Schizosaccharomyces pombe: one gene and its partner. The protein of the gene in region 1 purifies or fractionates together with the protein of each later gene. This does not show direct contact. Each region holds a gene or a part of one and is shown in the gene's direction. Other genes may lie near its edges.

Region 1 (3,862 bases):
CTTACTTCTACAAACAGCTTTTAAAAAAGGTAAAAGAGCCGGCACGCCTAGTGCAGAGGCAACAACCGAAAAGGCACGGGCTGTGGTGTTTCGGACATATTCGTCGACATGATCAATGTCAGGTCTCATTGTAGCAATCATATGAGCCAAGCCGGAAGCTTTAGCTAAGTTACTAATGATTTCCCGACCTTCAGCACGTGCATAGTAATCTTCATCAATAAGAAGGGGTTCAATAACTACGAGAATTTTATGAGTAAAAGGGCGAACCAGATCATCCAATTTGTATAATATACGATCAATAACCTTAACTAAAAGATGGCGCTCCTGATCTTCCAGTGTTCGTTCCATTAACAACGGAAGAATCTGATTAAATAAAGCAGCTGCACCAAAGTCGCGAGCTTGATCCGTAAGCTGGCGTAATGCACTCTTACGCATGGGAGGAGTACCATTTTTTACTTTCAGAAGTAATCTCAAAATTTTACGTTCACGAAGTTCCGCAATTGTAAGCTTGGCCTCGTCCTCCACCTTGAGTAACTTGCCAAAATATTTAACATCTTCTTGCTTAAAAAAAGCTAAATCACCTACACCGGGTATTTCTGTAGGCAATGCAGCTGGTAATTCTTTTTCTAAAGGAAGCTCTTGCTCTTGTGGAACGTGATATGTATCGAGCGTAGTACCTTTTTGAAGTAGTTCAGGATGAATTGATTCTAAATATCCAGGAGGAGGCTCCAAAATAGCATAGCCTTCTGACGGCAAAAGCTCATTTAACTCTTCTTCAGTTAATAAACGGACAGGAGGTCGTAATTTTTCTTCTACTACATTTACTTCCTTATTAATAAGATCTTCAGAAATTCCGTTTTCTATAACATGTTCAGATATAGTGAAGTTTTCAGGAGCTTTGTCCCAACGTGATCTACGCTTAGTAGTGGAAACCTGCGTAACGCTAGGTGGAGCCTGATCCCAACGAGAGCGTTTAGGCTTCTGAGATATTTCCGTATTATTAAGCTCTAGTTCTCTTTTTTTGTCCGATATGCTTTCCTCCTCCTCCACCTCTTTTAGTGTTCCTTCACGACGTCTTTGATTTAATTCCATATGAACTCGTCGCTCTTCCTTTTCTAATTCAACCTGCCGCATAACCTCCGCATAAGATCTTCCATTGCTCTGTGTCCCATCAGGTTGAAAAGCATCTACGCGGGTTGGAGTAAGCTGTCTATCATAACGCTGCTTTTGATAATCTGACTCGCGATCCTGAATTTGCTTTTTTGACTGTCTCTCTTGCATAGGGTCATAACTTTCATCAGCGTATTCATTTAGTAGTTCCTTAGGTGCTTCATATTGACGCACTAAACGATAACTATCATTAACATCGTTTGTACGTTTATAATCGTCTTCATCCTGAGAGATATCATTGCGCACGTCAATTGCGGAGTCATATTCTTCTTTTGGGTTACTGGACTTAAAAAGATGAGCATTATATTGTAAATCATTAGAATCCTGGGTACCTTCAATATTTACACTTCCATTTGTCGACGAATTCTTCGCTGCCTCTTTTTGTCTTCGCAAAAGTTCTCTTTCAGCACGAAGCCTTTCTATTTCCACATCTTCTACTTTATTTAGGTTAGTAACATCCATTTTGAACATTTTATAAGGATACGTACCAGTTGACATGTTGATGGCGAAGAAATGCTTTCATGTTGCGCGTCTTATACTCATTTAAATATACTCAAAGCATTCTAAGCTTCGTTATCAATATTTTAAAGTACAATACAGTAACTCGTTTTGTAGAATAACGATAAGATTAACGTGTCTTATTTAGTTTAACCCTCTTTATTAAGATTTATTTGCGAAAGAAATATATACTATCGAAAAAATTAGTATGAGGAATGATATTGAAATATCGAGGTATCATATTGCAACAGCTCAAGCTTTTAGCACCCCCCCCCTCTGCTATTGTAGATCTTGTAAGCGTTGCTGCAATTAATTGATAATAGACAAGCGTCTTACGGTTTCTACTTGTATATCCTAATATTTGGTGGAACCTTTACAAATTGATGTAAAATCTCTTTGGAAAAATTCAGCACTATATCGCTTTAATGTGAAGTTTGGCTTATAAGGAATGTAATTAACGATGATGGTTGCTAGGACACGCAGTCAAAAAAGAAAGCTTGAAGAGATTAATAACCAGAAGAAGATTAAAACAAAAAAAAAGGCCACCGGGCAACAGACTTCTAATACGAAAAATCTGCGTGATGTTAAAAAGAAAGGTAAACAATTAGCGTATGTTCCGAGGACGTCACCAAGGAAATCATATAAAAATGGGGAATATGTTTTAGCAAAGATGAGTAGCTTCCCATGGTGGCCAGCCAGAGTAGCGAGCCAAAAATCAATACCCACTGAGGTACGCGAACGATTGAAACGAAATTTTCGAATGGACAATGGAATATTTGTTCAGTTTCTTCCTTCAAGAGATTACGCTATTATTTCTTCTTCAAATGTTTTGCCCTTAACTGTTGATGAATCAAGGTTTATTTTGGACCATGATTTATCGACAAAGTATATCCAAAAGACGGTAGGTCTCATCATTGCTTCCGTAAAGAGAAAAGTTTCTTTTTCTGATGTCGAAGAGGATGAGTTTGAACCAGAGAATACTCGTAAAAAACTTCAAAAGCCCATCGAGAAACCAAAAAAGGAAAAGATAGAAGCCACACCTAAAATTGACGGGGGTAAAAGGTTAAAAAATGAGAAATCGTCGGCAGAAATTTCTCAAACATCGAAGCAACGACCTTCACGTAGGTCAGCTCGAGTTAGGATGGCTACAGACAACGCTCAGAAATCCCCATCTCCAATTCCTTCTCCCAAGAAAACAGCCAAAAAAAGAGTAAGGTTTGCCGGTTCTTTAGAGGAATTACCAAAATTTTCACTTGAATATCAATTGGCTCAGCCTATAAGTACTGTAGATATGTATGCTCAAGTTCATTATATTCGATTTAATACTCTTTTATATTACCGCTACCAACTACAAGAAATCCTACTGTCATATAATCATTATCCTCAAGAATCGGATATGTCTCATGTGCACCAAATATTGGAGATGATTGAGAATTTCAGCGCAATAAATTCTGAACTATTAGAATCAACCAAGTTGTATTCACTTTTTACTTTGCTTGTTAAATTAAGCGACATACCGTTGGATGAAAAATATGACTTTTCTTCACGATTTTCGACTCTTCTCCTTCAATTCCAAGCATTCGTTCAGCCCAAAACCATGACAAGTAATGTATCTACAGCGCCCATTGGAAAGAATGCTCAAGTGAACACAGAAGCTGCCAGACCATCTGTCATCACTACCTAACTTTTGATCATACATTCATATGCTTTTGTTATCGAATTACATAACTAATCTTGTTTACATTTAATGTTACGATAATATTTGCTTCCAACATTTTCATTAATATAGAACGCATTATTAGCGCGACTCAATGTGTTTATGGTACAAATCGTTACAATACGTTATCCTAGTATGTAAGCAAGAACAAGCATTGCTTACTACCATTTCGTAGTAGGTACCGTCAGTGTTTTTTTTTTTTACTTGCGATATCTCGTGTATACTAATTTAAAAAAAATGTCTTTCTTTGCTCCAAGGAATAAGAAAACGGAGCAGGAAGCAAAGAAATCAATACCTTGGGTTGAGCTTTAGTATGTAAATAGAGAATACTTTTTAAGAACAATAACATTAACACGTATGTAGTCGTCCCAAGACATTGGACCAAGTTTCCTCTCAAGAATCTACTGTACAAGTATTAAAAAAAACACTTTTATCTAATAACTTACCTCACATGTTGTTTTATGGCTCTCCTGGTAC
Region 2 (3,907 bases), on another chromosome or scaffold:
GTCAAATTGGTCGGTTTCAGTACGTGGGTAAGAAACAAACCCATTAGTATATAAGTTTTCGGCGAGCTGATGAAAATGATGTTAAAGTTGCAAATTCACTTATAATCAAATCGTACCTCTAAAGTTTTCTTAGCAGAAATTCTTAGATGTTTTGGCCCCAGTTTTGTAAGTTCTACAGTTGATAATGGCAGAGGTTTATACTTGGTTTTTGGTTTTTGAGTTATGTTAACGACCTTAGCAGTTTTGCATTCTAAACAGTTTTCCAAGATGATCATTGTAGTTAATCTGTCAAAAACTTTGGCCCTTTCCCAATTGAACTGAATAGTCTTACCCTGTCTTTTATCAACAAATCGAAGGTGCCAGTAGGTTTCAGGCACAAAGTCTTCTACTCGCTGCCACCGATCAACTACAAAGCCTAATGTAGGGAATTGGCAGGGACCATAACTTATTATTTTATTCTGAAGAATATCGAATGATTTTTGTAATTGAATAGTTTGTAGCCGAGTGAATATTGCACCTAAACGAAAATCAAGTTCAATTCTAGCATCCACAGCATCTGCAGCATTTTTTGAAACATCTCTTGGACGTTTCGCGGCACTGATAATATGTCTGAAAATTAGTTAGCATTTATCTTGAAGGGTTTTTTCTGTAATAAATAAATATCTGCTTTTTAAAACGCTAAGATGTTTATAACTTACGACCGTTCCAAATTATTGAAGTCTGCTCGGATAACCTGAATAGATGGATTGCTGGCTCTAGCTACATTGGAGATTTCCACCCCAATGTGTTCACCCTCACGATCACAATCGGTCCAAATATAAAGGTACTGGGCATTTCTAGCTTCTTTTTTAATATTGTCTGCTAGTACTTCTGCATTCTTTGATACTGAGGTGATGATTTGAGCATCGAATAAAACGTCTTGAGGGACAGAGCTCCAACTAGAATATTCAGAAGGAAAAGAAGCTTCTGTTAAGTGACCGGATACAGAAGTCATTGTAACATCAGAAGATCCAACATTGCCTCCAAAATTAAATGAGAAGTCGTAATTTTTTACATACTTACTTCGTGTATCTCTCTTAAGAGATTAGTAAATTTCAGAAAAGATTAAATTTTTTAACAAACCCTTCTCACGTGTCCACCCCCTAGAATGCTTGCTACCGATTTGGCAATCGAGTTTTTTTCAGCAACACATAGGACGCGCATTTCTTTTAAGAGATGACATTTATTACTTGGATATTGCACACCTTCTAATTATATCTCCCTTTTTTAAAAATGACTGCAGTGTAAAATTCGCGTGTAAGGTGTTAAGGTCGAGATGGCTTTATTGTTTATGCTAACAAATGTTGGTATAATGAAAGGTAGTAAATCGAGGACCAGAAAGTTCATTAAAAAAAATCAAACACCATACCAGTAGTTAATTATACTAGAGAATTAAGAAGAACCTCTTTAGATAAGTAATTATATAATTTTGATGTATGTTGCATTGAAGAAGTCCATGTAATAACTATTTCTTAAGCTTTCATAGTCAGGACGGTTTAATGAATAGATGCGCCGAATGTATAACAAAATTTAAAATTAATATTTTGTTTGTAAAAAAAAGTTAGAAATTTAGATATTTTTTGATTTTTGAACCCATCATTCGCATTGTAAACTACATATTTATTTCTATAGAGCATGGTAAATTGATGTAAGTTCCTTAATTAATTGAAATTAAAATAAATAGATAAATGAAAGTTCTCTTATTGACTCAAACCGGGATTGATAATATTTTAATTTGTTTTTATATTTATATTTTCTCATCTTTTAAATGCAAAATAATTATCGATAGCTAAAAAAGAAAAAGAAAAATCATGCACTATCGATAGAGTGAAGGGACTGTGCAGAGGATTTTTTTTGTTTTTTTAAAACAAAGCGACCTTGTCTAGAAGGCAAGTTTTTGTTTCACAGCTTCTCTCGTAAATCTCAATTAACTACTTTGATTCCATACAATTGGTAACATGTTACTTTCCTCACCACTGTAGTAGACAAGTGCGAACCTGAGATAACTGATGAAGCAGTAGTAAGCATTCTTCCACGAGGTTTCTACTTTTTTTAATATAGTCTGAGGTTTATTATTCTGAAATATAAAACACAAAAAATCCATGTTCGATTAAAGCGATTGAATTTGGGAAGTTTAGGAGGTGCGATTAACCAAAAATTTGAAATTTAATTTCTTTTTCATCTTTTCATTTTGTTTTGTTTATAACAAGTTTTTGCACTTTGGCTTCCACAATATTGACCTTTTTTAATGGATGAGATACAGGAGTCATCGTGTAATGAAAAATTGAGTGACGAAGACCTTGCAGCCGAGTTTGTTGAATTTACCGATAATATTCCAATCGAGATTTATCGTTCTTTACGTTATATAAGAAAATACGAGAATTTTTTTGCAAAAGAAAATGAAAATTTAAATACCGCTGCCAGGTTGGTGTGTGATTGTCCCATTTCAGAGGTCCCAAGTGCTAAGCAAAAATTGGCAGATTCTCTGTTTACATCGCATGAGTATTTACGACAAACAAGTGCAGAAGCAAACAAGTTATATGAAAACGTTTTGGCCTCTTATAAGCACTTGTGTGAAAAAATAAAATATCTAGAAGCAGATAATCCGCTTTATGTTCCAGCACCATGATTTCATTTTATTTTTTATTTTTTTGATAACCAGTTTCCCTTTCATAATAATATTTTAATTTTTTTTTTGCTGCACTTTAATGTTGGCAGTGCGATCCGTGCGTATTCTGTTTACTTTGATATGAGAATTCTACCCATTTACGGTTGATGGATAAAAGTGCCTGGCGATGATGTTTAACCTGTTAGCGACAATTTCTATAGCTTTTCTCCTTTTTTTTCGTATATAACTATGATAAGAGATTTTTAATTTAGGATTATAAGAGTCATATTATTTATTATCAATTGCCAGTTTAAATACTGAAACGCTAATATTGAACATTACTCAATTCTGAAAAGTTGCATTGCCAGTTTTCATTACTCCCCAAGGTTTATTTCTCCTTTCTTTTTTTATTATACTTTCTTCTGAATTTTAGAATTGATAACAAAAAACTTTGCTAATATACAAGTAAGGCAAACGATTTCAATGTTTGGACATTGCTCGGACAACTAAGTGTTCTTAATACATTAAACGCACTTCGGTTGTGTGTCAAACAACAGTGTTTTTACCTTTATGTATTACCTGAAAATGTGTCTATATTTATTCTCTTCAAAGATACAATTAAACGAATATACCAAAAACACTTATTACTAAATACAAGTACAATACCATACACTCAGTGTCAAATCAAATATCTTAAACCGAATTTATTTTTATCAGGAATTAAGTGGAACCAACTAAAGCACCTAGTAAGCAACAGCAGTCTCTTGTTCAGCAACAACCTCTTGGCCAGCAGCAGCAGCGGCCTCAACGGGTTGGTTGATAACAGTATAAGGCTTAGTAATAGGCTCCTCCTCCTTGGGGTCCAAAACGACAACAATATCGGGAAGAGACTTCTTTTGACGGGTCTTGGGCTCAGGCAACATAATTTTAACCTTAACACCAAGAACACCTTGACGAAGGAGAACGTGGCGAGTAGCAGAGTCAATGAAATCAACAGCAGGTTGACCAGAGTGGATCATGAAACCGTCGGCAAATTTCATGGACTTGGCACGAGCAGCACGGAGCTTACCGGAGATGACAACCTCACAACCCTTGGCACCAGCCTCCATAACATAACGAAGGACACCATAGGCGGCACGACGAACAGCCAAACCAGCCAAAAGCTTGTAGCGAAGGGATTCACATTGGGCAACAGCGCAGAGACCACGGTTTTGAACCTTCTCGGCATACAGCTCAACAGTGTTCTCAGCAAACTTAAAA

The links.
Region 2: the proteins of pdp3 (region 1) and ptf2 purify together in Schizosaccharomyces pombe (affinity purification with western blotting; one study listed by BioGRID). This does not show direct contact.

The regions. Positions count from the first base shown.
Region 1 is NC_003424.3:4,335,120-4,338,981, forward strand, and holds pdp3 (PWWP domain-containing protein), read left to right. Parts: upstream 1-1,961; 5' UTR 1,962-2,128; coding exon 2,129-3,352; downstream 3,353-3,862. Other genes in the region: prp10 (U2 snRNP-associated protein SF3B1), read right to left, coding at 1-1,436, 1,503-1,607, 1,659-1,668; DNA replication factor C complex subunit Rfc2, read left to right, coding at 3,623-3,696, 3,749-3,862. UniProt on the Schizosaccharomyces pombe protein: Component of the mst2 complex which is a highly specific H3 lysine 14 (H3K14) acetyltransferase that functions together with gcn5 to regulate global levels of H3K14 acetylation (H3K14ac), critical for DNA damage checkpoint activation.
Region 2 is NC_003423.3:4,234,935-4,238,841, forward strand, and holds ptf2 (protein ptf2), read left to right. Parts: upstream 1-2,055; 5' UTR 2,056-2,287; coding exon 2,288-2,668; 3' UTR 2,669-3,390; downstream 3,391-3,907. Other genes in the region: top3 (DNA topoisomerase III), read right to left, coding at 1-66, 117-609, 699-1,075, 1,123-1,203; rps3 (40S ribosomal protein uS3), read right to left, coding at 3,391-3,907.